Linked DNA regions of Kluyveromyces lactis. The protein of the gene in region 2 purifies or fractionates together with the protein of the main gene of each other region. This does not show direct contact. Links are inferred from orthologs where the notes say so. Each region holds a gene or a part of one and is shown on either strand. Other genes may lie near its edges. The genes, in order: POP5, RMP1, RPP1, POP6 and POP4.

Region 1 (6,274 bases), on a different chromosome or scaffold from region 2:
GCGAATTGGAACGGTCGAATAAAATGAGCACAGCAGAAAAGTTAAGACGATTGGCGTACCAACAAGGAAGAGATGTTTCTGATAAAGTTGTTTTAAATGCTGCAAAAGCCACCGAGACCCCAGATCTTCAGTACGATTCCCGCTTGTTCAAGAAAGCGGCATCATCTGTGGCATCATCTTCAAATCAAATTTTCGACCATCCATTGTTCAATAATAGCCAGATTGACAACATTTACAGGCCAACTACTGGTTCTAACTTAGAAAACGAAGATATTGTTGATCGACTCTCAAATAAGAAAGGAAGAACTGGACCGGTAGAGTTCTCCGCTGCTGATGATGGCAAAAATGCGGAACAGAATGAGGAAGATAACGAGCATGCCAGAGAATACGGTCTTCAAGTGCGTAAGAAGCCTCATACTTCTTAATTGTGCGATACCGATATACTGATATAATTGTATGTAATAATATTCAAGCACTACTAATTGAATGAAATCAGCGAATCAGTCATTATTTTCATCGTCAGTGATTGAAGAAAACTCATCATTCCTATCATCTGTCAGAAGTATTCGGTTCAAACGGTGACTTCTTCTGATAGCAAATAACTCAACTTTTTTAATAGTTCCGCTAACTTTTATTGGATTCATTATGATGGGCCCAACAGATTCAATCTGGTTCATCAAAGCAAGTGCCATTATTACGTACTGATGGTCATCATGGCCACATCGTATTATACCGGTTGATGTTCTATTCGAAAAGTATTTGATCTGTAACAAAGCCGTAGCCTTTCCCAAGCCATAGTCCCCGAAATTCACCTGTAATTGTTTTCGTAGTTCCTGCAAAATATTTCTCGGACTGATAGTATTTGGTGATACTTTGTGATGCGTGGTTAAAATGTCCTTCTTGGTTATATCTGGCACTGTTTCGTACTCATCATCTACATCTGGATATAGTACTTCGAAAAGAATGTATCTGCTCTTTAAACGAACCATTGGATTTCTTCTATTTTGCCTATTATGACAGCAAGTTTTATTAATAGTAGGATGAAACCCCCGAATAAACGTTGTTGCACAACCGTCCTTTATCAAAATCTTGATTCCTTCACAGTTGATCTCCATCATAACTCTAAATCTTGTAATGTGAAGCATCTCTCTTTTTTTTTTTTTTTTTTTTTTTTTTGGTTTGTCGCATTCAAGTCACAGAAGAAGAACGAGAATACGCCAAGCATGTCCAATATTTTATGCATTATTGCCGCATCACCAACCTTAACTAACAGATTGTGTAAATATCAGATAATTCATTCTCTATATAACAAAAGGCGTAGCATATCTTTCAAGTAATATCATATATAGTTGAGTTGAAAATCAGAGTTCTCATGCATATATTTACAAAACTTTGAGACTTGAGATTAACTTCAAGCCAATCGTAGCCAAAGAGTTTATATTAAAGCGGGTGAAATTAGATAGTCAGTCTCTCTTTTAGCAAGGCTTCAACTTCCGCAACAGCGGAGTCAATACCGTTTGGTTTGTCACCCATACCTTGGAAGACATTTCCCTTACCACCAGCTTTACCACCGATGCTAGAGGATACTGTTTTGGCTAAACTAGAACCATCAACACCTTGAGCAATTGCTGCGTCAGATATGTAGCATCCGTGAGCAACCTTTCCGTCTGGTTCATTACAAGTGAATAAGTAGATAGACTTGTCCTTCGAGTTTGTTTTAATGTGATTGATAGCTTCAGTGATGGCCTTAGCATTAGTTGGAATGTCAATATGCTTGACGTAGAAAGAAGACTCTTTGTTAGCATCAAAGTGATGTTTGACGTCGTCCAGAGTTTGTTTAATTTCCTTCTTAGCTCTAGATTTCAGTTCATCTTTAACTTCCTTTTCAATTTTGTTGAATTTATCCTTCAAGTCAGTTTTGGTGATAACGGAAATAGTTAGTTGGCCTAGTCTGACACCTAGCTCCTTTAGCTTTTGGGCCTTTAAAGGGGAGAAAGGCAGTTTTTCAACTGCAGTTAATTCGCCATCAAATTCAGTAGCAATTCTTTGTACTTCATAGGCTTCAGGTCCAGAAACCGCAACAATTCTTCTGATACCTTTGGCAATACCACTTTCTTCAACAATGACGAATTCTTTGATGTCACTAGTCTTAGCAACATGGGTACCACCACAGAATTCAATGGAGTACTTTTGCCATTCTTCACTAGTTGGGTTCTCTAGGACTTCTTCAACGGCCTTACCAATAGAAACAACACGAACTGGATCCGGGTAAGTTTCACCGAAGACAGCACGGACAGAAGAGATAGTCTTAGCCAAATCTAAGGCAACTTCCTTGTAATACACAGTTAAGTTGTCCCTGATCTTTTCATTGGAGAGTTTTTCAACCTCCACTAATTCCTCATAAGATAAGGCTCTCTTGTGCGAGAAATCGAATCTCAACTTTTCCGGTGCAACTAAGGAACCCTTTTGATCGACATCATTACCCAACACTTCTTTCAGAGCAAAGTTCAAGATATGTGTACCAGTGTGATTATTTCTTAGGGGATGACGACGTAGCTCTTCGTAAGAAGCAATTATACTGTCACCAATAGATAGTTTACCGTCACCAAGAGAACCGGTATGGAAAACATAACCGTTGTAGGCTTGAACATTGTCGACGTTGAATTCTGCTTCACCATCGATAACCAACTTACCTGTATCGAACTCTTGACCACCTTGTTCGGCATAAAAACAAGTTTTGTCTAGAATAACACCATATTGCTTACCAATTTCGGTCATAGAGTCAACGAATTTCTCACCATCATATATTCTCAAAATAGTGGCTTCAACGTTTTCGGTCCCATACTTAGATGAATCATCAGTCTTAGCGACATTATCACCGTTAAGTTGAGACAATTCATGAACGTTTAATCTGATCAAATCAGATGCACCCTTCTTACCACCTTTCTTAGAAGCCTCGTATGATTCCTGTTTAGCTTTCTCAAAACCGATTGTATCGATCTTTAAGCCCTGTTCTTCAGCCATCAATTCAGTCAAATCGACAGGGAAACCATAAGTATCGTATAGTCTCCAGACTTGTTTACCATCCAAAGTCTTGTCTGCTTTCTTCAAAGCATCTTCAGCATACTTTTCAAACAATTTTTCACCACGGTCTAAAGTTTTTGCGAAAGAAGCTTCTTCTTCGTCCAAAATTTCGAACAAATAAGATGGGTCTCTAGCGACTTCTGGGAACATATCCTTAACTTGTTCGATTAAAGTGACAGACAATTGTGAAAAAAAGTTTCCTATAGGGTAGTTCATGTACTTTCTAGCGTAACGTGCACCACGTCTCAAAATTCTTCTCAAAACGTAACCTCTACCTTCGTTGTTAGGAACACCACCATCAGCCAAGGCGAAAGTTAACGTACGAACATGATCAGCCAAGACTCTGTAAGCGGTGTCAATACCATCCGTATCCTCAGCACCAAATTTACCAGTGTATGATCTGACCCCAGTGATTTCTTGGATACGGTTGAACAAAGGTTCGAAAACGTCGGTGTCGTAATTAGATCTAACATCGTGCAAAACGGACACCAATCTTTCGAAACCCATACCAGTATCGACATGTTTAGCCGGTAGAGCTCTTAGAGAACGATCTTGTTCTCTGTTGAATTGAATAAAAACGTTATTCCAAATTTCCAACACATCTGGATCGTCTTGATTAACAAGATGAGCAGCGTTTCTACCACCAATTCTGTCATAATGAACTTCAGAACAAGGACCACATGGACCTTGTTCACCCATTTCCCAAAAGTTATCCTTGGCATTACCTGGCAAGATATGATCATCCTTGACGCCAACGGATTTCCACAAATCACGAGCTTCGAAGTCTGGTTCCAAACCCAATTTTTCGTCACCTTCGAAATAAGTGACGTACAATCTATCACCTGGAATACCGTAGACTTTGGTCAACAATTCCCAAGAGTATTCAATAGCTTCCTTCTTGAAATAGTCACCGAACGACCAGTTACCCAACATTTCAAAGAAAGTGTGGTGGTAGGAGTCTCTACCAACATCTTCCAAATCATTATGCTTACCACCGGCTCTGATACACTTTTGAGAGTTCGTAGCTCTCTTCAACTTGTAAAAATCACTGGATGGGTCAACTGTTCCCAAAAAGATTGGCTTATACTGATTCATACCAGCATTGGCAAACAATAAAGTTGGATCATCGAATGGAATCACGGGTGAAGATGGAACAAAAGTATGGCCCTTAGACTTGAAATAGTCCAAAAATGTGGAACGAACGTTGGCAGCCGTCCACTTAGACTTATCACCAATCGTCATCCTAGCTGTAAAACTGGAAAATAACCTGCAATTAACGCGAAACACCTTTCCTAAGGACGTCTTCGAAAGCAAATTCTAATCAAGAACGGGAAGATTTAATCAAACCGCTAAAAACGATGAGTAATGATTAAATTAACGACTTGAAACAACGGGAAAAAAGTTCAGAAATCCCCCTAGTTCTCTGAATATGCCGCCTAAGGTTTTCAATAACTTTCGAATACAACAAACGAAAGAGCAGTAGTAGCCTCTGAACCTGAGTCCAAGCCTTCTACTCATCCGTTTTTATGTATAAGTTAATTGTTCAAAAATTCCAGAATATCTTCAAATCACTTTTTGATATTTTTCTCAACGCTTTCCGTTTCACAGATAGATAGAGCCAATGAAGAAAGAAACTAGGAGTCACGTGAGAAATACACTCACGTGACTCTTCATTCGAAAGTGGCTGAAGCTACCTTGCCAGTGGATCTGATAGACATGCGTAAAATCCCATAGTACTAGCTTAGGGAGTAGCATTATAGTAATGGTGAGGTTTACAAATTCTATAACATGTGTAGGACTTTAACATGCTTCATATTTCCAGCTTAAAAGTTTTTTATTGGCAGAAGATCCCGCAAGATTTTTAAGGTTTATATTTGCCTTCTATTAAGATCAGAATTCGAGATGAAAGAGAGTATTTAGATCAGCACAATTTGACAGTTTGTGTTCCAACAAGATTGAGTGAACGAGTTTCCTGATCTAAAACGGTGCAAAACCACGATGGTCTTGTTTAGGTTACGAATTGTGTTTTTGCTGTTAACTGTCCTGCACATAACGCAAGCATTTAATGAAGGAATTGGTAAGAGATGGCTTTCAGCGTCCCTTGTTGATTACGATGCATTGTCTACCGACCAATGGATGCAGTTGTATAGAAAAATAACGTTAAGTGATGAAGAAGAGGATGAAGAAGATGAAGATGACGATGAAGGAATTGAGGAATCTATAAGTTCAGCTTCGGCTGAGAAAGTACAACAAGTCGAAGGCTTGTCCGGTGCCATTTCAAAATATGTACAGATTGCACCAATTGATGATGAATTCAAAGAAACTTGCTTTGTTTTGAATGGCAAAATATACTCTAAGAGCGATGACTCATTTTATTTCAAGACCTCTGAATTGGATGCTCAAGCTCTTGTTCCAGATTTCGATGTGTTAAAAGATAGAGAGATTGCAATCGGAACTAATGCTTCTGCTCCAATTGTGGTACTTTACGGTTGTGAAACAGATTTAGAGTTTGCTGATTTCAACAGAAATCTTTATAATGAGGCTAAGTTTGGTAAGATTAGAATGACTTGGAGACCGACCTGTATCATAGGTGATACACCAGAATATGCATTGAGTGCCACATTATCGGACAAAAACTGGGACCAAAAGGCAAATGTTCACCTTGTAATCGATGATTCTGATCTAAAAATTAAGGATCCAGTCAAATTGAAATACTTGGATCAAAAGGAACTAGAAGATTTGGATATGAAATTCACCGCGTTATTGTTGGAGAAATTCAATGAAGATCATGATTTCGATTCTTTCTTTGAATATTTCAAGTCGTTGTCCTACAATTTTCCTGCAGTGGCACCAGTCATTGCTTCTAAAGACAACATTGATACAACACCAGCAAAGAATATTGTTAAAGACTTCAATAAGAGAAAAATCTCTCATGAATTACTTGGCTTGTACATCAACGGCCAACAGTGGAGATTGTCAGAATTAGATGAAACTACTTTACCTGCTATCCTCGCTAAGGAATGGTCTAGGGTTAATGATTTAAAAGAAAAACTAAGTAAGTTCCCCGGTGCTGAGTTAGAGAACTTTTTGAAATATTTCACGGTTGGCTACTCATATACGGCTTACTTTGACAAAAATCGTTACGATTTCTATCGTACTCCAGGTTTCTCTGAAGCTGTAGTTTTCTTCA
Region 2 (5,168 bases):
CTATATGTGGCAGCATGCCGATACTTGCCAATAGTACGATCATGAGAAATGCTCGCCATGCTTTCTCAAAGATGCATTATGATACAATGGGTACACATCACCAGCTTCGACATTCGCGATTAAGTCTGATTTCAATGTTGATCTTATCGTATTCATCAATTGAGAGTTAGTATCTTTCTGTTCAATGAACACATCACCCTCGAGTAAGAGTAGTTTCACTAAATCACAATCTTGGTTGTCTCTGTTGTCTAACGAAATGCATAATGTATTGACATCCAAAGCACTGGTCAAAGATACAATTTTTTCATCGAATTCTAAAGTTTGATGCAAAGATAAAGCACCAGATTTTTCATCCACTTTCAGCACAAACAGTACCTTGGTAGCTTCCACGAAAAATGCAATATATGGGACATCTTTTAATGTGACTATTTTAGCAACACTGTATTCAATCACATCGCCTTTCTCATTTTGGAATCTTTCTGGTGCCAAATGGTCACTAGTTAAGTATTTTTGAATCAAATCTGTATAGTCAAACTTGAATAGCAAAGCACCAGTTTTCCAGTTCCAGGAGAAGACAAATTTGTCACCACCAGCACTGAAAAGTAGTTTATCACTCCACTCAGGGATGCATATAGTAGAAACGAATTCTTCATGGCCGAACAACCATTTGTCCACAATAAAACTTTGAGGATAGTGTGAGATTCTGATGTGTTCATCCCTGTCTGCTGTAACTATATATTGTTTCCCCTCAGAGTCAGTCAACATGTTAACATCTGTGAGCATGGATACGTGCCCTAGGATTGGTGCCTTTTCGGCGTTGATTGAAGTAATTACGTCATTTTGGATGGGCATAGAATAAACGTCTCCAAATTTATCAGCAAGAATTAGATCCTTATCGTCAACAGATGTAGTTATAGCATTTGGCCTCTTAGGGTAAGGCTGACGTTTAATTAGTTTAAAAATGTTGTCTTTATCGTCCAAATCGATATTGAAAATGACAGCTGCCTTGTCAGAATCGGTGCAAGCAAGTAATAATTTCCCATCTCTTGACAACGCAAGGTTTCTAATATATTGATACACTGGAGGAGCTCCTGGGCCAGGTTTTGGAACTTTTGCCTGCTTCTTGGGTTGTGCAACTGGCTCGCCGTCATTTGTCTTCAATTTTTTAGAAGCATTCTCAATTAACTGTCTGGCTTGCTCTTTTAAAACCTTCTCTTTAATCAGAGGTGTATTATCCAGATCATCAACCCACTCCCCACGTAGTACGTATCCGTTCCCTTCAACTTTAAATGCCTTTATCTCGTTCTTCACAACACAGAATAGTAAAGAACCATCCCGGTTCAAAAGAACTGATTGAAATGGATGAAGCATTGGAGGAAAGACGCTAGTAGAGTCGAATCCCTAAGTTGTAGCAAAGTTATGTTACTCACTGTAGAACACCTGAGGCCCAATCCAACTATGAACTGCAGTACTTGTCCCTCGTCAACCTCTTAGTCTTTCGTACATATTTTCACATCTTGAAGCTTGATTGAAAATCCGATGCGATGAGCTTCGAAAAATTTTAATAAACTCGTAAGGACTCAAGACTAGTCTTGATTTAAAAGCATAATTATAATCATCATAGGGCTCACTAATGGATCTGAATTTTTCTGAGCATGTATACAATTACCTATAAATCACTTGAATCGGGTTTATAATCCTTTATGGTGCGTGAATGAATGCGGTTTTGTACATATCGTAGCTTTGAATTATATGTTGAACTAAAATTCGGAATTCTTCTGCAGTATTGTCTGCTGAAAAATTCGTTAAAAAGAGAGAAACTGATATCTCTGCACTAAAGGCCTTCGACCTTGATCCACCGATTGAGATATAAATCTACAGGATCTTTCCAGGTTGAAGCTTGGTGACAAAATTGAGTTCAAGTGTGCAGCACCGATTCATTTTGTCTGAGTGCACCGCATTGCGTTAATCGAAGGATTTTCAGTGAAATACAGTAGCTGCAATGTCATCTAAACATCCTTGCATCAAAGATGGGTGGTTTAATGAAGTTAGTGATAAGAGTTTCCCAGGTCAAGCATTCTCATTGAAGGTCAACAAGATCCTATTTCACGAGAAGACGCAATTTCAGGATATACTGATATTTGAATCGTCAAATTATGGTAATGTCTTAGTGTTGGATGGTATCATTCAGGTAAGTGAGAAAGATGAATTTGCGTACCAAGAACTGATCTCTCACGTTCCACTGTATTCACACGAGAACCCAAAGAAAATTCTAGTTATAGGAGGTGGAGATGGTGGGGTTTTGAGAGAAGTGGTGAAACATTCTTGTGTAGAGGAAGCTACACTGGTTGAAATTGATGCTAAAGTCATAGAGTTATCAAAGAAGTACTTGCCAAACATGGCGTGCTCTTTCAAGCATCCCAAGGTAAATGTGAAGCTGTGCGATGGGTTCCAATTCTTACGAGATGTCGCAGAATCGGGTACAAAGTACGACGTAATAATTACTGATTCGTCTGATCCGGAAGGGCCTGCAGAAGCATTTTTCCAGAAGGAATACTTTGAGCTGTTGTACAAAGCGTTGACTGAAAATGGTGTTGTTATTGCACAGGCTTCTGAAAATGTCTGGCTGAATTTAGAATATTTGAAGACGCTTCTGAATACGTCTCGTTCAGTTTTTCCAGTAGCTGAGTATTGTTACACTATGCTACCCACTTATACCTCCGGTCAATTAGGGTTGATCGCATGCTGTAAGAATCCAAACACAAATCTCATTGACCCCTGTCGTGCTCCAACTGAGGATGAGCAATCTCAGATGAGATATTATAATAACAAGATGCATTCCGCTGCTTTTGTCTTACCTACATGGGCTAGAAAGGTACTAAATCCATTGTGAAATTCTGTAAACTGAACACTAGAAAAATATACATTATGTAAATATTCGAATACTCGAAGGAACTACAATCAACCGAATAGATCATCAATAGCTGACTTCTTCTTCTTTTGCTTTTTCTTTTTACCGTATTTATTGTCCTTTTTCCCGCTGGCAGCTAGCACTTTTGAGTTGTCATCTGTACTTTTAAAAATCGCCATTGTTTCCAGATCTTCGCCAATTTCTTCCCCTATCTCTTCGTCAGCTATAGATTCCAAAGCTTCCCGTACCTCGTTGTCGGACATCCCAGGGTTGACAGAACTGGTATTGTTCTTTATGCATCCAATCCTACGGAAATCTTCTTCCAACGTATCATAAATGTGCATGTATACCGTATAAATACGTGCCAAATTTCCTATCAGTACTACTCCCAACGTCACAAACTGTCCCAAAGATATTACACCATTGAAATCATAGTACATCTTCTTTATCTGTAACTTCAAAATCGAATACAACAACGAATGAAGCTTCAATAACTGTTTATCATGGCAAACGCCTCGAAAAACCAAGCCTTCAATTATACGTACAGCCTGTGCCACGTTCCTTTTCAAAATATTTAGCTGTTTCCACCATACAGTCGCCCCGTGCTGGTTCTTATTCCTATGATATATGAGGTATACTATTCTTAATTCTTGGCGAAGCTGCACCACTAGTTTCTTATTTATTTCAGAAATACCACCCATGATATTGAGTAATTTATCGTCAATACTCTAACAAACCAGCATTTCGTACAAAAATGAGAGCCAGGACACGCATCTCTGTTTCATCTGTGCTTCACTTCTACCTCATCTCATCTCATGTTCTTAATACACCGATTCGTTTTTTTTTCAAGATCATCATCATCTTTCGAACAAATGTTCCAAGAAAAAGCCTACAATTGCATCCTGCACCGCCCTTTATTGAAAAGAAACCAATAATCATTGCACGCGAGATGACCTGTCACTCCGTAAACGGTTAATTGGATAATTTGAACTCTGTTAAATTGATTGATTATTGTGTCACTTGAATCACTGGAAAGCAAAAAAGCCTGAGTTTTTCCATTGATATTTGTGTCAGGAACGTCGAGCCTCGAGTCGTGCATTGAGTATAAATTAGAGTAAATTTATGCTCGAATGAACCCAATTGAAACAAGAGAACTTAATAGTTTACATCCTGTTCATTGCAAGAGCGGTTTTTGATGGTTTATCCAATATAAAGTAACTCGAAATCTGTCTGCTTCTTAAACAAAGAATACAGTCTTCGAGCCCCAACTTCACATAATTATACCTTCTTTTTAAACATTCCAAAGTATGTCGTATCAGAGACCTGGGGTGAATATACCAAATGGTTTTCAGAGAGATCCGATCCCCCCTCCGTATGCTGAAACAGATCCATTATCTTCCAATTCACAAATACCCTTACAGCCCCCTCCACAGGTACCACCACGAATTCCTCCTAGACGAACTCAGGATTCAGCTTTTGGAGATTATGTCTGGAATAGAAACACCCCTCCGTTGCCTGCAAGGCCAAATACGCAGGGAATTGAAACGGTGGTCCCTAATAACACATCTCGGTCAACTACTAACACAATGGATGAAGTAACTAATCAACTAATGTCTGCTAATATCTCGGCAACAAACGTTTTCTCTTCGCCAATCTCCACTGATCCACCTTTGGCTGTTTTCTCAAAGGTAAATCATGAGGTGCCACTCCCTTCAGGGACTAACAATTCCGGTAAACCAACTGAAACCAACAAGTTTTATGGGAACATCATGCTTGGTGGTGGGACAAATCCAATCTGGACCCATCCATACTCAGTTTGGTATTCTACTGATTCATACTATGGTTTAGCTCTAAATCAGGTTACCGCAGCCCAAAGAGTCTTTGATACCACTAAGACTCCACCTCAATTTTTCTTTGGTCCTACGGGTATCAAATCGCTAGTCTATTCGTCAACTGATTTCAATTCTGCTGGAGACATGTCGTTGGCATTTTACAACATCAAACACTTATCAGTGGATGTTCAGTTGAAAAAATCTGACACTGAATTTATTGTCTTTCCTCTAGTTCAAGGTATGGGATTTGTTACTGCTATTTACTATAATTTAATCCCAAGATTGTCTTCTGCTGTTGGTTTCAAAAGTATCACTGGTGATACTTCACCAAGATCTGGCATTAACAAGTACAAGATATTGCTCGAGAACAATGTCACTTGGACATTGTATGTTACCATTCCATCTGGTCAATCATTATCTTTAGC
Region 3 (6,550 bases), on a different chromosome or scaffold from region 2:
TCACTTGCAATATATTAGGTTTATATACCTGAACATGTATGTTTATATATTTAAGATTATCCAAAAATTGCCGCAAAGATCATCCATATCTCGAGAATCTCGTAAACGATACAAAAGTCCGCTCATCATATTGATAACCATTGCTCGCACATCAAAAGAAATCAAATTCAACTTTAACACATTCAGTATTCCGCCATCTTTTCCTTACAGTAATTTTTTTTTTTGGCAGCATTTTCTGAGTTTTTTTTCTACTTGATTATTATTGATTGTTTTTTTCCATTTGCACTAAGGTGAAAACGACGAAAATTGGAAAAGTGAAAGAAAAAAAAAAGCGAAATTGAAATTCAATAAATAGTTAAACATCGTTATTGTCGAGAAACAGAACGACAGTGGTGCTTTACAGGGTACTAGTGACTATTTAACGGGTGTAGATCGGATTGAATCTGTTGTTATAGGTTTTGAGTCAGAACAGACGAAACCTGCTTGCTGAATCAGAGACAGTATGGATTCTGATACTGCGATGACAGGCCATGACGATAATAATGGTGAAATTGGAATTGGTGAGAATGGTGTTTCCAGACAAGAGAAGGATAGTTCTGTAGTAGATAAAAAGGACAAGAATGGTATTTCTAGTGTGCAAGCGGGTTTAGAAAGTCAACGAGGTACAATTCGAGAGCTTGAGAAAAAAGTTTCTGAAATTGAGTCTATTTTACCTGAAACTGACGAAATAATTCAAAAGAGTATTGAGTCAGTTGTGGTGACTTTGAAGAACTTATCGCATAACCAGCAAGTTTTGGAAACGAAATTCGAGGACCTTTTAAAGAACCAGGTGAATTCAGATGCGGCCATAAACGATCTATCCGTGGAGATCATCAAGATCAACAGGTTGTTATCCGATAGGTTAACGATGTCCGCGACATCAGGTGCATCGTCAGGGACGATGGGAACTGCTGCGTATGGATCACCCGCATATATGTCATCTGCAAGCGTCTCTCCTCCTCATAGGGGACCTGGTAGACCACCTAAGAAGAACACTTCGATATTGTCCAATGGCGATAAAAAGGCGAAATTGCCATTCCCAAGCGATCATATATCAAAATCAAAACGTCTTTTCCTGGACCCAAGTAAAGAAAAGACGGAGTCCAACTCAGGTTATGATGCAGATGGGGTTGGCAACAGTCGATCTCGTAGTTCTGCTAACGTCAAGCAAGAGACTCCTCAGGAACCAAAGAAACGTAGAGGTAGACCTTCAAAGAAAAGCACATGGGAAGCTCAACTCACTTCTTCACAAAGAAAGACAAATGCTGCAGATAATGATACCAAGGAAAGGCAAAGCTCTAGCTCTAGACGCAAATCTCAAAGATTGAAAAGTGGTTCGCGCCAATATGATGAACAATCGGATCTTTCATCATCGTTTTCCGGTATGTCTGATAATGAAGGGCAAGATGATGAGGGCGATGTCACAGACGATCAGAAACAGTTGGCTAATGATATGCATGACTCTCGTTCCAGAAAACAGAAGGAGCTCGAAATGAAAAGAGATGAAAGAGAAAGGATGCTAGTCACCATGAAATATAGCGATCGTAACGTTACCAGGAATTTCATGGAACTCAACAAAGATCTTTTCATGGCCATGAAACAAGAAGAACGGAAGAAAAGAATGACAGCGGTGCCTTTCAGCGTTCCAGTACCGTTGGGTAAATATCAACTTTCAAGTAAACATTTGGAAGAGTTATCAAAAGTACCTTTCTCCCTGTCGCAAACAGCGGAGAATTCTTCTGGTGCTCAATCACCTTCGTCTAATCCTCCAGACTCTGCTCGCTCTGTGACACCACAAACAATTATATCAGCATATAACAATTTGGAACAACCAGGCAATGTAGGCTCAGTTTCTACGGCAAGTGCGGATGATGTTAACGGTCAAAAATCGTCGTTACTGAATTCTGAGCACAAGGATCTGAACGGCTCTGTGAAAAGAACATCTTCGGACATCGGTGATCGATCTCAAATGTCCAACGAAGCAGAGGGACCACGTAAGGTCAGAATCTTGTCTATCTTGAATGATGATGCATCTACTGGTGTAAAAACAGAAGAGAATGGCTCGGCTAGACCTCATCTGTTAGACATGCCAAATTCGACTCCTCAAGGATCTGCAGACGCATTACCAAGTTCTCAATTATCTGTTGATTCGACAGAAAACTCGCAGGATAACTTTTCCGTCACCACTTTACAATCTGGTGGTGAATCACCAAATAAGAAAAGGCATCTAACATTGCATGATCGTCGAAAGATGAGCAGGATGATTCCGATGTTACCAGAAAAGAAAGATAAAAGGGGAAGACCAAGCTCTAACAATCAATCCCAAGAAAATGCAGCGTCTTTGTTAATGTCATCCCCTGTGGAACTTTACTGCCGTGAAGGTTTTTTTTATAGAAAAGGTTCTACAATTCCAATCACAGCGGGAGAGTATTTGGATTTGAAGTTCAGACACAAAGAAGACGAATTGATTAAATTAACAATGCATGAAGAAGATTACGCCGAGTTAACAAGACAGGATAGAATCAACGCGTATTTCCTTAAACCAGACGTTGAGATTGAAACCTCAATGGCTTGTCAAGTTTTGTCCAATGTCATATTAACCGAGAGATACGTCAATTCATTAGAATATTTCCTGATGGAATTCCGTTGGGAGAATAGATTGGTAAGTTTAGGTCTAAAGCTAAGAGAATCTAAGAGAACTTGGCAAAGACGGAAAGCCTTATTTGCATTATTTGAGTTTTGGAGAGACAAGTCGAAAGATAAGAGAGGTTTCCACAATTATACATTGTTGCATGCAATCAAAGAAATGGAAAATTACAGAGTCTTCATCAATAGGTCGGTTTCATGGTTTTACAACCACATTACCCTTTTAAAAATGATTCTTTTTGATTTATGTGATAATACGAATACTCATTGGAGAGAATGGATGTTCGCCAGAGGCACTGAACTACCGCTTGTTGGTAAAAATGGCGTCGATGTCATGAATATTAATAGAGAAATCGATAATATTTTGGTTCTTGATTTCCTAGAAGATGGTAGCAAAAATTCAAACAAGAAATCAAGTTCTATTCCATACAAAGAAAACAGTGAAGGCCCTCTAGAACAGCCTTATGTTACGAATGATGTTCCCGCAGACAAGGGAACAAAGGAATTACACACTGAGCATGTCCAACAACAGTCAGAAACCCCAGTTCCGGAACTGGCTGGAAATAGAACTGAAGAAAATACAAACCATGCTACTGGGGCGGTAGCTGTAAATCAAGATCAGCACTTACCTTCTTTACCGAAAGATTCAGAAGATGTGAACTCTACGCAATGATATTTATGCACATAGATCATAATGGTTCCTTTTTGGGCGCTGTTTTTCATCAAACCTATTTTAACGGACATTTTATCACTTTATGGAACAAATAGTAAGGTATGTACTCTATAAATAAACTGACAATTATTCTATTTAGATAATATTGTTCTCATACTCAAAAACATTGTGACATGGCCGATTGGATGAAGTTTAAAGTTGTATTTTTCAACAGTTGGGCTTTCAAGTAAGGATTGTACTTCATAGTATGTTATAATATCTTCAAGTATAATTTTTTCGGAAAAGACATTACAATAATCTACCAAAAAAAAAATCTAGTAAATAATGAAACATGAGCATGAGATGAGGTATGCTGGACACTCAAATGGAAACAAAAGTTTCTGTTGAATCACTTGTAAATACTCCTTCCAAATTTGCAAAGCAAAATAGCTATTTGAAAGGATGTTAGTTGATTTAAACGTTCCTTGGCCACAGAAGGATTTTGCAACACCGCCTTCCACGAAGGAGATTAAAACGCTGCACAAGACTCTAGCGACATTGCATACACTAGGGTACACTCACATAGCTTTAAATTTCACAGTAAACCAACAGGATAAATTCCCAAAATCAATCAATGATATGAATCCTATCGATCTATCGCATTTTGATGAACTAGTGAAATCTACGGGATTAAAGCTATATACAAGAATCACAATTATTATAGATGACCTTTCAAAAGGCCAGCCGTTGACAAAGATATCGCAAGCTTTCGATATTGTGGCAGCCCTTCCAGTCAGTGAAAAGGCTGTTACTCTCGTAACGTCTAGCTTGGATGTTGATGTGCTATCATTTTACTACGACAAAAGGCTTCCTACACTTTTGAAACATCACATGATGGGGGGTTGCATTAAGAGAGGAGTCAAAGTAGAAATTGTTTATGCTAACGCTCTTCGAGATATCAGAACACGTAGGCAGTTCGTATCTAACGTGAAGAGTGTGATCAGAACTTGCAGGAACAGAGGAATCGTGGTCAGTAGTGGAGCAACCAGCCCACTAGAATGTCGTAATGTCATTGGAGTTACAAGCATTTTGAACTTTATTGGGCTTCCGAATGACAAATCTCGTAAATCCATGGGCGAGCTTGCTAGTTTGGTACTTCTAAATGGTAGATTAAGAAATAAGAGCTATAAGCAAGTCATTTGTATTGGTAACGAAGATGTAGTCAATGAAGATTTTACACAGAATTCATCGTTCAAAATAGTCAAAAGGAAAAACCCAGATACACTGGAAAGTGATGACTCGAAAAGAACAAAAAGCTGAATTACCATGAACTTAATTTTCATACTGCACTTCTACTGTTGAATCTCTCGAAGCATTCAATAGTACCGATAATACGATATATAATAGATTTTATATTTATATAAGGAAAATAGTACAATAAGCATTAAGCAAAAGATGGATACAAGGTAAATTTAGGAAATTATGGGTAAGAGTAATGATATCGGTGATTTCAATCCACTTTGAGTTCATCTTTAACATGTCCAATTTTACGTTTAGTTTCCAAAGTCAAACTTACTATCAAGTTCTAAACCCAAAGTTATTTTTCATTCTAATATCTGTAAAAAGAGCAGGTTACTGTTACCCGCAACACATACATGGTGTAAATCCGATCAAAAGCTCAGCGGCTATTGAAAAGAGTATAAAAGTATCCAGCTTGGAGACTTTACGATTTTCTTCTTCGAATCATAAACCGCCTTACATAGAAACGGTCTATTATATAAAAAACACAGACAGTACGTAAGGCAGTAACTTGGGAAAACAAGTGCCACACAAAGTTAAAATGGGCGAGGTGAAGAGTTACTTACGAAAATGGAGACGCTCTTCCATTCTTAAAAGAAGCAGTTTGAAGGATAAACGGAAAGAAAATTGGGAACAACGTATAGAGAAGTCCTTGAGCGAATGCGATGACATTAAAAACTTATTGGCTGGTCGTCCAACGACACCTGATATTGCAAGAACGAATAATAGTACATTCCTTTCCAAGCGCTCTAGGGCTTTTGTTACAGAACCGTTATCGAACCAAGAATTGGATAAAATCAAATATATGAATTTTGCAATGGAGAGAGATTATAGAGCAGGTACTAGGCCAGTGATACCGAGAATGGATTCAACCAACAGACGAAAATTGAGCGTAAATCTCACCCCGACATCGATTTCAGCAGATGACTCCGAGAATAATGCGATAGTGAAAGACTTTTCTGAGTTCATTGAAATTTCTTTCAATAGTTTGAGCATTTCCGATGAATACACACCCCAACCAAGCTTTTCCAAAGAGTCCGAGGAACCTAGAACCGCCAGTTCTAAGAGTCTAGAAAGTCTATGGAGTAAAAATGTGAAATAGTCGTAATTGGTAACCATGTTGGGTCAACTAATGACTTATCTAACCCACGAAAAAAAGCCGTAGAAACTTGAGAAAAAATAACGGCCGCCAAAAGAAAAAAAGAAGACATGAAACCCAAGAAAAAAGAAAAAACCGGATTGGCGATGGTGAATTAGAGAGGTTAGAAAACATTAATTTTCGATCAACGAAACGTATCTGCATTCCTGAAGAGGGTGCGAAAATGAAAAATCGTGTTTTTACCTAATATAGGAATTCCTAAATTAACTGAATCCAGTAGTAGTTAACCATAGATGCGAAAAATGTCAGAAAATTGTGAAACCTAGGAATGCATGAAACATTACCACTGTGGACGCGGCCGATATATGTATATATAAACGGATAAACATGATCCAGGGTACAAAGGCCATGATTTGAATCATCAGAAACCAGGCATTGCCGAATAAAACAACCAACAGATCTGGGCCAATACTTATGATGAACGTACCTCAGATCAAGTCGATCTGGCTCGATGAAGACGATGAAACAGAAAAATTATATGGTTTACAAGCTCACCAGCTTCTGGATTCTGACGATGATGATGAATTGGGCGTTGTAATGATCAATAGTGATAAACCTGTCTTAAGTAATAGGAAAAACATTAATCTTCCTCCATTGCCGCCAAATGCGTATGATAAACAATCTGGAAAGAAATCTTTCAAGAAGAAGAAGAACAGCCTCTTAAAACTGTTTCAAAATAAATCAAGTAAAGAAGAACCTCCTAAGTTAAAAATTTCTGTCCCATTTGGATTTAATCACATCTCACATGCAGATTC
Region 4 (5,870 bases), on a different chromosome or scaffold from region 2:
GACAATTTCAATGGTACCTCTGGCAATCTTGGTTGGAACACCCAAAGCTTGGAAGAAAGAAGTCTTACCTGGTTCCATACCGGTGTTGACGGCGAGAACCCAGATATCTTCTGGGGCAACAGCACCAGCTCTGGCTGGAGCGGCAACCTTGTTGGCGATGATGACTTCCTTGATATCTTGCAAGGAATCGTTGGTGAAGATGAAACCAACGTTACCCTTGACGAAAGGCAACAACTTTTCGTAGTCTGGGAAGTCAGAGATGAAACCTCTGACAGCTCTTCTGACCATGGTGTTCTTACCCATCAAGACAACAGCTCTGCCTCTCAAGTTCTTTCTGACTTCGTGCATTTGTTGGGAAGACACATTGTCAACACCAACAACGAAGACAGACTTGTATTCTTCCAAGTATTCTCTTAGCTTGGCAAAGTATTCAGCTTTCTTTTCACGGACGCCCCCCATTTCGACTTTTTTAGTGATAGGATGTTTAAGGTAGTACCTGTGGTTCTTGTAAACTATATACAAACTACAAATCTAATCAAGTACTTAACATCCAATTATGTATATTCATATGTAAAGGACGTTTTATCATAAAATTCAATATTTTTCAAGTTTGGTTTCCCTCAGCGATGAAAAATTTGAGATTTTCCAATTTCCAAATTAAGGCCCACATGAAAAACAAACAAGCATCCGTTAATCATACAGAAATAGGTGTAACTCATATGGTATATTATAAAAAAGAAGGAGCTTGAGTGAATGGTATCAGGATGTACCCTCTACGCTTGAAAACCATCTGGTGCTGAGGATTCAATCCATATGCCGGACTTGTTAATACTTTAACGTTGTATTGCTTAATACAACGGGTTTGCATTGTTTAAATGCACGTGACCACTAGTCAAAGAGGAAATTAATTCCTTTGGAGTTTTATCAAGGTGCATGGGTGTTGTGTTGACATTTTTTACATATGTAAGGGTGTAAACAGTCCGCAGAATAGCTTTCATCGTATCAATGCTCATCCCATCTCGTCGAAAAGAAATCTACAATAACTTCCCAAGTTATCGTAGCATTGAGTATTGATAATTCAATCGATGAGAAACTCGCCTTAGTTGAGTAATTAGCTACAAAGCAACAACGATGGCTTCTTCCAAACTAAAATATAACGAAATTGAAGTAGAAGGCATAGATCCTTCCACCTACGTAGAATGTTCGACCTACATCAAAGAAAAAATCATCCCAGAAACCCTGCGAAGTGCAGGTTGGAACAATGCGTCTGAGACATCTGTAGGAGCAATTATTTCGTACAGTAAAAACTCCAATATTAAACAATGTGTGGATCAACTCGCAGCTATCACTGCTGATACATTCGTACTTGTTGCTTATGGAGTTCATGTACAAAAAGCACTTTCGATAATAGAGATCTTCAAGACTACTGAAAACGGGAAAGCACTACATCAATTTAATAAACTAGACTCGTTTATTGAAATCAAGGCTGGACGTAATGAACTATTGGATAGAAAAGTCAACTTGCCTATACTTATTACCTTATTCACTAAACAAGAAGTCAAAAGCCTTAATAAATTCACAAAACAATCGTAACTTCAACGTTGACACAATTTAAAGTATACTGATAACGCTTCCAGTCAAAACATATTGTATATACCTTTGTGATCCGTCAGGGCGGACAGTGAACAAATTCCGATCGTCAAAAAAAATATCGTACCCAATTTATTTGGTAAATAGCTACAATATCGCAATTGCCATGTTCGACCTATATTTCATCTGTATTAGGCAAGCAAGCTTACCTTATCAAAATTGATGGATATTGAGTTCCGATCCCTCGCCGTAATATTTCATAACTTTAAAATTCCCTTCCTTCGAGCGATATGTTTCGAATTTCCGTTGGAATCTTCCACGTCTCCAGTGTTTTAGGGTTGTTCTCGCGCATACAATTTTAAAAAAAAAAAAGTGAGGCCACTGATATCACTACATGAGATACAGAGACGGGATCATGACAGTTTCTTCAAGTATGATTCATTATCGGGGATTTTGTTGCGGTCGTCAAAACTGTAATATAAACGGGCTGAAAGATTCATATATAAACTCTTTAAGATCAATTCACTTATATCTGGCAAATTTCAGTTCGAAAACTAAAAGATAAGAAGCGATTACGTTCGGAAACAGTATTGATTTACTTTAAGGATAGATACATGGGAATCGACTTGAGTTTGATTTTGGGTAAGCAGGTAACTTTCCCACTATTTTGCTACGTTTCGTATCAATTGTATAAAGATCTGGTTTGTGGCGATGCGAAACAAATTAATTCCAGTGTGAACATTAGTGACGATGTTTTCGCTGATGATATTGATAAGAAAAGTACTGCGCTAAAAGATAACGGTGATAAGCAAGAAGAGAGATGGGAACCTGTGAGTTTCATGAAAGACATCCAGCCATCTACAGCAGAAAGGGATTACAAATTATGGTTCGATACACCACCTTTCCCTTACCAACCTTTCAAGCCTGGTGAATACAGATTAACAATGGGTGTAAGGCCGATGCCAAATGAATATTGGCTAGTGTTTGAAAGCACTCTTAAAGATAGAATAGAAAAGAAGTGGGATGTGATCAAAAATAATTACAAGGATGTGATATACCATTTGGATCCCGCTATGATTAATTGCACTACTTATGATAATGCAGCTATCACAGACACCACATTAGTCACGATAAAGGATGTGGAAAAAGCTGACCTAACGGTTTGTGAGTGGTACAATACCCTAGTAAGTTTCTTGATCGCAAGGTTCCCTCAATACTTCACTGTGGTGCTACATCCAAATGATGAAACACCCGGTGTCTTGTACAACAGCATCATGGACGAGTATCATCCAGTGGATGCATTCCATTATCTCAAATTACAAAGTACCGATTTGCAGTTCTTGAAATACCGGTGTTGTAACATAGACATCATACCAGAAGAGTTGAAGGATCCATCAAACCTATTTGATGAGGTTGGAAGAATTGCCATAGTAACCACAGAAAAGACGAAGAGAGCTCACGAGTTGATTTTGGCGGTACAAAGAATGGTTGAAGAAGATTTAGTACTGTTGTCTCCAAATGCTAACGGCCAATATAATAACGAATATATAATGATTTCGGGATGTTTTGCATTTGCAGCAGGGTTCAATCCTCGTCAACGATTCCTCAAACCCATGACACAAATCCATGGACCTGTTCCAGAATATAAGCAAAAATTACAGACGCAAATGAATAAATTCTTCCAAACTCACAAACCCGGAAAATTAGTGATGAGGATAAACTTCTCGTTCCAAACACATTCCAAACTGTTTGTCACAGATGATAATAAGGGTACAGAGGAAGAGGAAATTCGTCCGAAAACTTTAGAAGAGATGCATGGAGGTCATGATTTGCATTACAGATCTGAAAGACAATGTCTAATCAAATTAGAAAACTCAAAATCAATGTGTTTTTCTATCAAGACGTATCTATGGAACTTGCAAGATGAGTTCTTAGCAAACGATTACTATTCACAGGAAGGTGTTATTCAGGATTTATGTGACGCAGTGAAAGGAATGCAAGATTCAATTGGACAATACAAGCGTAAACCCGAGTGGGGGCCAGCATTGCTTGAAATGCTTGAATCAGCATTACATAGAAAGTTGTAAATAACTTTAACGAACAATATTGACAGATACTCTTAAATTAACGAGTGTTGTTAATAGAGCTTGAGTCGAATGTGAATGCAGTGACGAAAAAATAAAAAAGCTTCTCCGCGACGGGGAATTGAACCCCGATCTCGCACGCGACAAGCGCGAATTCTAACCATTAAACTATCGCGGAATAGATATTTTTATGAAAGATTGAGAAGACATTCCCTCACAAGTCTGGAATACGAAACCATGTGCAAGAAGTTCATTTCCGAGACTAAATTATAAGGCTTTTTGGGTAACCAAGGTTCGAATCACAAAATACCATACGATTTAGAGATGTGCCCCAGTTTCCTGGGTAAAGGACGCTATTTATGCATCCAAAACCATTCGTGAAAATTCGTGATGATGTTTTTTAGCATTCAACAGAGGAAAATCCACAGAAACGAGGGAAACACACAGCAAGAAGCTGTGAATTTATCTTCAATTTGGGCATCGCTTTGAATCCATGCACCACTGAAAGAAAAACTGCGCACGGATCTTCGAAGATGCCACTTAAAATCTATATACTATGAGGACGGATTCCATTAGCTAAGTTAAAAGAACGACGACAGAAAATGCATTACTTCGCGTTAGGACACCTGTCACTAACAAAACAAAGAATTGACAACGTATTACATCTTGCTGTGGAATATATTAGCTCAATTTTTAATCCAATCCCCGATGGTGGTGGTACTAGCTATAGATAGTGTACATGATATATAGATTTCAGTACCTTCTTCACATAGTAAGTTGTTAAGATGCTTGATCGCCTTTGAAAACTTTTTTAAGACAAGGTCCAATACCAAAATGTTACCCGAATATATTATATTGGTAAATTATTCGTATAGGGCTGGTAACTGGGAATGGCACTCCACTAAAACGATGTTCCTCATTTAGTTACTACATGCCGATGCTACCGCGAAATCATGAAGAGGTCCAGTGAACTTCGTACTGTAGTAGTATCATAGAATCGTCTTGCATTGCCGTATTCTTCTTGATTATTGATTTAGCACCGAACTGAAAGTGTAGTGTCTGGGTGGAAAGTGTAGTGTCCGGGTATCCTTGAGGCTTCCAGATATCAATTAGCTATTTAAAAATGAAAGAAACGTCAAATCAGAGAGAAACAAACTGTTGCAGTGCATAGGGGTCCACTGCGTTTAAGGTAGTTATTCGAAAAGAATCATAGCGATACCAATTGACCAGTGTGTTTCCGCTAAAAGTTCTATAAGACTTAAGGATTTGAGCATACTTTGTTATAGATAACTTGCTGAACATAGAAATTAGAATAATATGGCTGGTCCACCTCCACCACCAGCACCTCCTCCGCCTATGTTTGGCGGAAATTCATCCAATGCTGGCTCCGCTGCAACTCCTGTCCCACCCCCAGCGGCTGTTCCAGGACGTGATGCCTTATTGAGTGATATTAGGAAAGGTGCAAAACTTAAGAAAGCACACACTGTGGATAAGAGTGCACCTGCGATTGGAGGATCAAGTTCGATGAGCCACTCTGTATCAGTATCGAGCTCAGCAGTCCCGCCTGTAGCACCATCGATCCCGACTCCAACTCAGCTTCCCGGTGTCCCTCAATTGGGAGATATACTTGCTGGTGGGATCCCTAAATTAAAACATGTTTCGGGTTCCTCTAAATCACCAGCTATTCCATCTGGAGCTCCTCCGCTTCCGGATAGCTCTTCAATCCCAAAAATTCCTTCTAATAGACCACAGCGTAAAAAGACTTTGAGAAGTGAGGGTGATTCGTCAGTGGCGGCTCCTCCTGCTCCTCCTCCAATGGCAGCACCGGCAATTCCAACAAGTCCGCCACCAGTACCCATGATGAACACACCACCGGTTCCGAAACATCCTCCAGCAAGACAACGCACAGAAGCACCTCCGGTTCAAGCACAACCTGCTCCGCCTGTAACGTTACCACCTGCACCTCCAGCTCCTCCTATAGCCGTGCCACCAGCTCCGGCACCTCCAGTACCTCTAGCACCTCCCACAATTAGCACCCCTCCTGCGGCCCCACCAGCACCTCCTACGCCTGCACCTCCTACATCTGCACCTCCAGCTCCAGCACCTCCAGCACCTCCCATAATCAGTACCCCTCCTGCAGCCCCACCTGCACCTCCAAGCATATCATTCCCAACGTCCACGCCGCAACCACCACCA
Region 5 (6,478 bases), on a different chromosome or scaffold from region 2:
TTCACCATACCATTTAATGGTTCCGGTAGTATGAGTCCTGAAATTTCGGATGAATCCAACGAGTCCGAGATGTTAGATTGTTTAAGAATGACAGGAGTTATCTTTGGAGCTCTCTTCATTCTCAATGATTCAATTAGTTCGTCGTTTAGCTGCTGGAGTTCAAGAATGTGAACTGACTTCAACAGCCCACAGCAAAGTAGCTGTTGGTCGAATCTCTCGTTTGTTTTAATCAGCTGCTCGGAACCCCCCAATGACTTTAGTACCGACCGTAGAAAATATTTTCTCTTATATATGTTCCATAGTAACTCGTCTTGTTTTGAGTCTGGCGGAAAGATGTCGTTCATAAAAATGCAGCATGATCTAACCAGATCTTTAATCCCAGAAAATTGCCCTTCCTCAGAAACCTTACACAACCATCTGTCAACTTTTTCAATATTCTTTATGTCTGCATTAAAAGTCAATGTAATCATATTCTTCATTATTGCCTTTCGATTAGAATCAAAAGATTCGCTTGACATGGAATAGGTGGAGATGAAGGACGACAAATAGTCTTCGTCAAGCATTTTACATATAACTCGTACTACGAAGTTATCATATTCCTCACCTCGCCACGGGTAATAGGCATATATCATATCCCCTAGCTCTTCTATTATTGTTATTATCGTCATTTGATCATCCATACATCTATCGAAGAAATCCTCGAAGTATTTAAACTTCAATAAAAGAATATCCACAGTATTGATGCTTAAATTTTGACATAATATTTGATATTCGGAACAGTAGTATATGATTTGTTTTTGAAGACTGTCGACTCTTTTGAAGTGGTCAGAACTATAAGTAAAGGAGTTAATTATGCGATTAGTGGTTTCTTCAAAAAGCCCCAACACTGACGATTTATCAATTGGAATATCGTACCTGATAATGTTCTTGACCAAACTGAACTGGGATGTTGTACGTGATTCTAACGCTTCGACTATAAACGATTCGATAGTTTGTCGTAGTTGCGAGTGCAATCGATTTGCTATTCTTGAGAAAAAGACTAACGTTGCGTAGCCTTCTAATGATCGGCAGGAGATATTTTCCAAACTATTTGGAAGGTTCCGGAGAAAAGCCTTGGTGTAATATTGCAAAGAGTTCACCTTGCCCTGTATCTTTTTGTAAGCATCTTCTAACTCACATAAGTTTGTTAACCATTCTATATTCGTGAAATCTTCCTCGTCCACCTGTTCATTTATCAATTTGCTAAGAAGTGACCAGAGATCTTCAACAAACGTGTCCTTAAAGACAGCAGCATATTGACTTGAATTACTGGAAGCCTTAGCAAGCCTCGGTACTTTACATCTAATCAATTTTTGCAAAGTGAAATATATCTTTTCATCGTGTTTAAGGTCATCTCCTGGGATTTGATATTGTCTAAGCAGCAGTTCGAGCTCAGATAACAGAGAATCGTACAGAACTTTTGAGCTTTTGATTCGTTCGGGAACCAATAACGGCATGTCACATTGACTGTACGTTGAGGGTGGAACCTTTATGCGATACATACTGTCCCATAACAATTGAAATACTAAGTGTTATATGATCCTACGTACTTGCCCAATACTATATCAAAAAGACATACGAGTCACGTGCCAGGTAAAGGAAGTACATTGTGTTGGCTACGTAACTAGCAGCCAATGACGTAACAGTAGAAGTTTTGGTATACTGAGCTCATGGTATTGTGAAAATATTATTCACCAGAAGTTTACTGTTAGGTTTGAATCCAAGATTAAGTGCAAATATGCCATCTTCTTTCCTGATCAAGAGTCCGTGCTTGACTAAGGATGATAAATAATGGCTGAACATTGCTTGGTTGCGAACGGAAAGAGCACTAATCATTTCATCTAGCGACCAGCTTAGTTTTTTATTGAACAATGTATCAAGAATGACAGCATGACATAAATTGAAGTTTATGGATATGTTGGTTTTTTGAAAAATTGTAGGTTTCATGATGACTCTATGTAGATGCGGTTGATCATAAAAGTGTACATTAATACCATCACTTGTAATCCGTGGTTCGTGTTTGTTAACCCATTTTCCTGGCAGATTAAAAGGAAGTTTTGCCGAATTTTCTGAGTAAATATTAGGAAATATTTTTGCTGGTAAGATGATATCGTTCTTCCTATTGTTTCTCGTTATCTTTAATGACAAATGACTGAACATCCTGTTAATATTATTTAGTGTCCCAGCATCCTGCTGCATTACTATGTAAAAGCGAGCGAGGGGAGCGTCAAGTTCTAGTTTCTTGCCAACTAAAATAGATTTGACTAGATCTATGGTTAGATTATCTCGAATGATTTCTTTTATAACGTATTGCTCAAAATACGAAGCAGAAAATGGTTGAAATTGTCGAGTGTTCTTCAAGAATACTCCTATTTTCGTTAGCCATCTTCTTTCTTTTTCAGTCATGTTGTATGCTTTTTTACCCAACACATCTCCAATGTTGGTAGTGCCTGGAAAATAAGTAAGAATGTGTTTCACCATCAGTCTCATGAATTTAATAGTATTTTTAGAGTCCAATTCAAATGCGTATTGGCGGCTCATTATAGGCTTGCGCTGTTGAAGAATGAAATCCATCATTCGGATCAAGAGGCGGTGGTAATTAGGCCCAACCTCAGTCAAATCTTGTACCCACTTCGTAGTAATTTCGAGGTTAGCAGATAGTATATCCTTTTCGGTCAAAACACTTTGTAAACCACATATATTATAGCTGATACGCTGAGAATTGAGCGGTTGTGATGAACCGAGTTTCTGTGAGATCGAAGCTTTGTAGAAATCAACGTCAGCAAATACAGCAAAAAAACCGGCACGAGTCACTGCAAAAACTTCTTCGGGATATATTTGGAGAGTCACGTTGTGCAAATAATTCATGAAGGTATAAGCTTCCGCTTCAAAGTCCTTAATATCTGACTGTACTTGCAATTGGGTTTTGAAGGTTAATACCAAGCCCTCGAGAATAGATAAGATAAATCGTGGATTAACATCGTTGTTCTTAGGTAGGGATATCGGATCCAAAAAATGATGATAATGTGAATCAAATCCTAAGTCTGAAAATAACTTGCAAACCTCATAAAACTGGTCATTCGATATGGATCTTGTCTCAACCTCAATTTCAAACCCTCTTCTAATTAGATCGTTCAACTCAGAATATAATTTATATCCAACAATGGTGACCAGCCATTGTACGAGAAGTGAGTAATGTCGTATATTTAACCCGAGTTTGTGTAGTGCTCGCTCTAAAGGTAAGAAAAGAGGCTGTATTTTCCTTAGTTGAAGTTTTATTGTTAGGATGTGTTTTGCCAAGCTCCCAATAGTCAATGGACTTTCAATAGTGTTAGTCATATGCTGCATTTCATTGTCAAAGCTTTGTAAGAAACCTCTTGTGACATCGAGTAAACGGTTCTTATTGTCGTCCAATCCATTAGCATCCGAGTACCTTAGTTGGTCAATCCATCGTGTAAGTCGTTTATTCACATCTTTTAACTCATCCTCTGATTTATTCACTAAATTACCGTAGGTGAACCATGTTAGCTCTTTTCCGTTTCGAATATTCATGGGAAGTTAATAGTTCATATCTTTCAGGTGTCATACACAGGGCTCAACGTATAACAAGAAGCTCTATTGCTCCTGCCACTTCTTTGTTGAAGTGCATCTTGAATGGAGGTTTGACTATTGAACTATCTTGTCTTGGCCAAAAAACTGGAAATTTTGGCGATTTTGCAGACCTTTTCTTTGCAATTCAGTGTAAGAAATTGCTACCTTGGTCTGGTATTGATGGTTTCACAATCACCTAAGGGTAGTACACGGCATGAATAGTAATGGTAACGATTTGAAAGAAGAGTCTTTAGATCCTGCCAAATATTTGGCGGAAACTTTTAAGAAGGAGGGTCATTTAGACAGTTTAAAGAATGAAATACTATCTCAAAATGTAGAGGGTGATATTAGCTTGGACGAATTCATAAAGAGCCGAGTAAGGGATTTAGTTCGTGATAGGGTAAATGAAGATGAGTCTTTAATTTTCAAGAACAGAGGTACCACGACTGCTCTTCTTGAGGGCCAATTATTTAAAGACGGATTCAAGAGTTTAAACACGTCAAATATCGATGTGGAGAAGCTTCTGAGTGATTCACTTGACGATGCGACGACGAGACAAAAGATAAGAACTATCCTTGAAGCCAAAACTAATGATAGTTGATTGAACAGATAAAGTAGCAAGGCTGCTACATATATATTTTACTTCGTTAACTAATGTAATATAATAGGTCATCGCAACGGCGACTCTTAAATTTTCTACCGGCTCTATCAACACTTCTATATTTAAATCTATCACCAAGAATTGTATAGGCTAAAGATTCTTCTTCATTGATTGGAATCTCGAAATCGAAAGTTGTTCCTTTCTTCGGTATGCTTTTCAATTCATCGACTAATCCGCCTTTCGTTATGATTATGAATGTCTTTTGAGCATCCCATATTACAATACCATTTTTCCCAGTTAATGACTTGTTTTTGGATTTAGATACCTTCAACTTACACCCGTTATAATCAGCCATAGAGAGCTTGATCAAAGTTTGCTGAGAGTTCAAAGGTAATGGATTTCCAACTTTGTGATTATCTGGGATGTTCAACAATTCTTTCATGTATGGACACCATATATCTTCGAACATGGAGGAGAAAGTTTCAAAATTCGGCAGTTGCTCCAATAAATCTTTGTGTTTCTCTTCAAGGACCCTTTGTAGCTGGTCTCTATCTGAAATTTTTAGTCTCTTGGCTAACTTTTTGCAACTTGCGGATGCATTATTGCATTTGTTTATATATTCCTTCAACAAAACTCTTGAATTCTTGTTCACTGCCTTGTAATTTGGATGTTTTAACCCAGCAGATCCACCCATACTACTTGAATGAAGAAGTTTTGCCTTACTCTTCTTTCTAAGCTTGGTAGACAGACCTCCATCAGTTGGCATCAAGAACAACGTCTGTGTTAATCTATTCTCATTGATAGGTTTCCTTGGATTATCAAAACATTTAGTGAATAAGCACTCTTCTATAAAAGGTTGAATACGATCCATTTTGGAAGCCCGTATATCCGTTCGCGAAGTAACAGCTTTAAAACGCAACACTTACCGAATACTGGTTGTACCCAGCTTTAAAACCGGTAAGATTGTTGTCCCTTCGGCAGAATGTTTCTTTCAAGTTTATCTCATCTCAATTTTTCAAGTTTTACCCGATGAGCTTCCGATATTTGATTTACTTCCATGCACAACGTTGTGAAGATGAAGATATAAATTTCGTTGGGCTGAACAATTTGTGAGGACCTCTATGGGTGAGAAGCATCCATGATCAGTAAATGTACGCATCGAGTAGCGACAACGCTATTGAGAAGTGGTATATCCGTTCCAAAACGACTATATACTCCAGCAAATAATCAGATTCCATTTGAACTGGATGAAACAGATGAAAAATACAAAGAGCTCAACAACATCTATCGTGAGCTCTTCACTCCAACAGATAAAGCTAACATTCTTACTACAAAAGATATTGAATCAAACAAGCGTTCTGAAGTTGATGAAATAAATGAAGAGCTAAATTCCTTGTATTCTGTCGGTGTACTTTCACCAGCGGAGCTGGAAGACGCGGTAAAAAGTAATGGAAGGTTCGTCATCAGAAGTGTATCTACCAACCCATACTTCAACCTAGCTTTAGAGGACTATGTGTTTCGTAATACGCCTTTAACTGAGAACAAAACGGGAAATGAAAGAATACTGCTTTATACCAATGATAAATGTGTCGTTGTCGGTAAGAATCAAAACCCATGGAAGGAAACGTACATGAGAAATATCGCATCAAGAGGGTACAATTTTGTAAGAAGACGTTCAGGTGGAGGTGCAGTAGTGCATGATTTAGGAAATGTTAACTATTCGTATTTGACGTCGAGAGAAAGTTTCCGCAGAGAGTTCTTCAATCAGCAACTTGTACAATGGTTAAGTAATGAGAACATTACGTTGAACGATAGAGGCGATTTGATCTATAAAGGTTATAAGATAAGTGGTAGTGCTTTCAAAATAGCTAAAGGAAAAGCTTATCACCACGGCACAATGCTAATAGATTCAGACCTGGCTCAATTCAAAGGTTTACTAAAACCGGATGTAATTCCTGGGGTTGAATGGACATGTAATAGTGTCGAAAGTGTTAGATCTAAGGTTGATAACATTGGCGGAAAAGCAATATCGTCAATTGATGACTTTTGCAATTTGATTACGGATCAGTTCAGAAATCTGGTTGATGACTCTGAAATTCCTATGTTTTATTGTGATGAATCAAGTTCTTTACTCGAGATCACAGAGATCTCCGAAAACTTACGGAGCAAAGAATGGAAATTTATGTCAGGCCCAAGGTTTGAGGTAATTTGTAATGACGTTACAATAAAGGTCGAGAAGGGTGTAAT

The links.
Region 1: the proteins of RMP1 (region 2) and POP5 purify together in Saccharomyces cerevisiae (affinity purification with mass spectrometry; 3 studies listed by BioGRID, with this or other methods). This does not show direct contact. The link is inferred for Kluyveromyces lactis from reciprocal best matches to the Saccharomyces cerevisiae genes RMP1 and POP5.
Region 3: the proteins of RMP1 (region 2) and RPP1 purify together in Saccharomyces cerevisiae (affinity purification with mass spectrometry; 4 studies listed by BioGRID, with this or other methods). This does not show direct contact. The link is inferred for Kluyveromyces lactis from reciprocal best matches to the Saccharomyces cerevisiae genes RMP1 and RPP1.
Region 4: the proteins of RMP1 (region 2) and POP6 purify together in Saccharomyces cerevisiae (affinity purification with mass spectrometry; 3 studies listed by BioGRID, with this or other methods). This does not show direct contact. The link is inferred for Kluyveromyces lactis from reciprocal best matches to the Saccharomyces cerevisiae genes RMP1 and POP6.
Region 5: the proteins of RMP1 (region 2) and POP4 purify together in Saccharomyces cerevisiae (affinity purification with mass spectrometry; 5 studies listed by BioGRID, with this or other methods). This does not show direct contact. The link is inferred for Kluyveromyces lactis from reciprocal best matches to the Saccharomyces cerevisiae genes RMP1 and POP4.

Annotation. Positions count from the first base shown.
Region 1 is NC_006042.1:218,900-225,173, reverse strand, and holds POP5 (RNA-binding protein POP5), read right to left. Parts: upstream 1,146-6,274; coding exon 501-1,145; downstream 1-500. Other genes in the region: mRNA splicing protein PRP45, read left to right, coding at 1-425; ALA1 (alanine--tRNA ligase), read right to left, coding at 1,456-4,326; KRE5 (Kre5p), read left to right, coding at 5,083-6,274. UniProt on the Saccharomyces cerevisiae protein: Component of ribonuclease P, a protein complex that generates mature tRNA molecules by cleaving their 5'-ends. Also a component of RNase MRP, which cleaves pre-rRNA sequences.
Region 2 is NC_006040.1:1,447,267-1,452,434, reverse strand, and holds RMP1 (Rmp1p), read right to left. Parts: upstream 3,613-5,168; coding exon 2,962-3,612; downstream 1-2,961. Other genes in the region: TRM82 (Trm82p), read right to left, coding at 40-1,371; SPE4 (spermine synthase), read left to right, coding at 2,003-2,893; ACF2 (endo-1,3(4)-beta-glucanase), read left to right, coding at 4,219-5,168. UniProt on the Saccharomyces cerevisiae protein: Functions as part of ribonuclease MRP (RNase MRP), which is involved in rRNA processing in mitochondria.
Region 3 is NC_006039.1:1,283,649-1,290,198, forward strand, and holds RPP1 (RNA-binding RNA processing protein RPP1), read left to right. Parts: upstream 1-3,799; coding exon 3,800-4,657; downstream 4,658-6,550. Other genes in the region: SUM1 (Sum1p), read left to right, coding at 503-3,358; KLLA0_C14740g (uncharacterized protein), read left to right, coding at 5,178-5,738; GIC2 (Gic2p), read left to right, coding at 6,210-6,550. UniProt on the Saccharomyces cerevisiae protein: Component of ribonuclease P, a protein complex that generates mature tRNA molecules by cleaving their 5'-ends. Also a component of RNase MRP, which cleaves pre-rRNA sequences.
Region 4 is NC_006038.1:533,548-539,417, forward strand, and holds POP6 (ribonuclease P/MRP protein subunit POP6), read left to right. Parts: upstream 1-1,131; coding exon 1,132-1,593; downstream 1,594-5,870. Other genes in the region: RPP0 (60S ribosomal protein uL10), read right to left, coding at 1-459; KLLA0_B05995g (heme-dependent oxidative N-demethylase family protein), read left to right, coding at 2,205-3,677; VRP1 (Vrp1p), read left to right, coding at 4,992-5,870. UniProt on the Saccharomyces cerevisiae protein: Component of ribonuclease P, a protein complex that generates mature tRNA molecules by cleaving their 5'-ends. Also a component of RNase MRP, which cleaves pre-rRNA sequences.
Region 5 is NC_006042.1:193,855-200,332, forward strand, and holds POP4 (RNase P/RNase MRP complex subunit), read right to left. Parts: upstream 5,103-6,478; coding exon 4,278-5,102; downstream 1-4,277. Other genes in the region: cullin RTT101, read right to left, coding at 1-1,541; KLLA0_F02167g (uncharacterized protein), read right to left, coding at 1,708-3,591; SHG1 (Shg1p), read left to right, coding at 3,845-4,231; AIM22 (putative lipoate--protein ligase), read left to right, coding at 5,370-6,478. UniProt on the Saccharomyces cerevisiae protein: Required for 5.8S rRNA and tRNA processing; associated with RNase MRP and RNase P.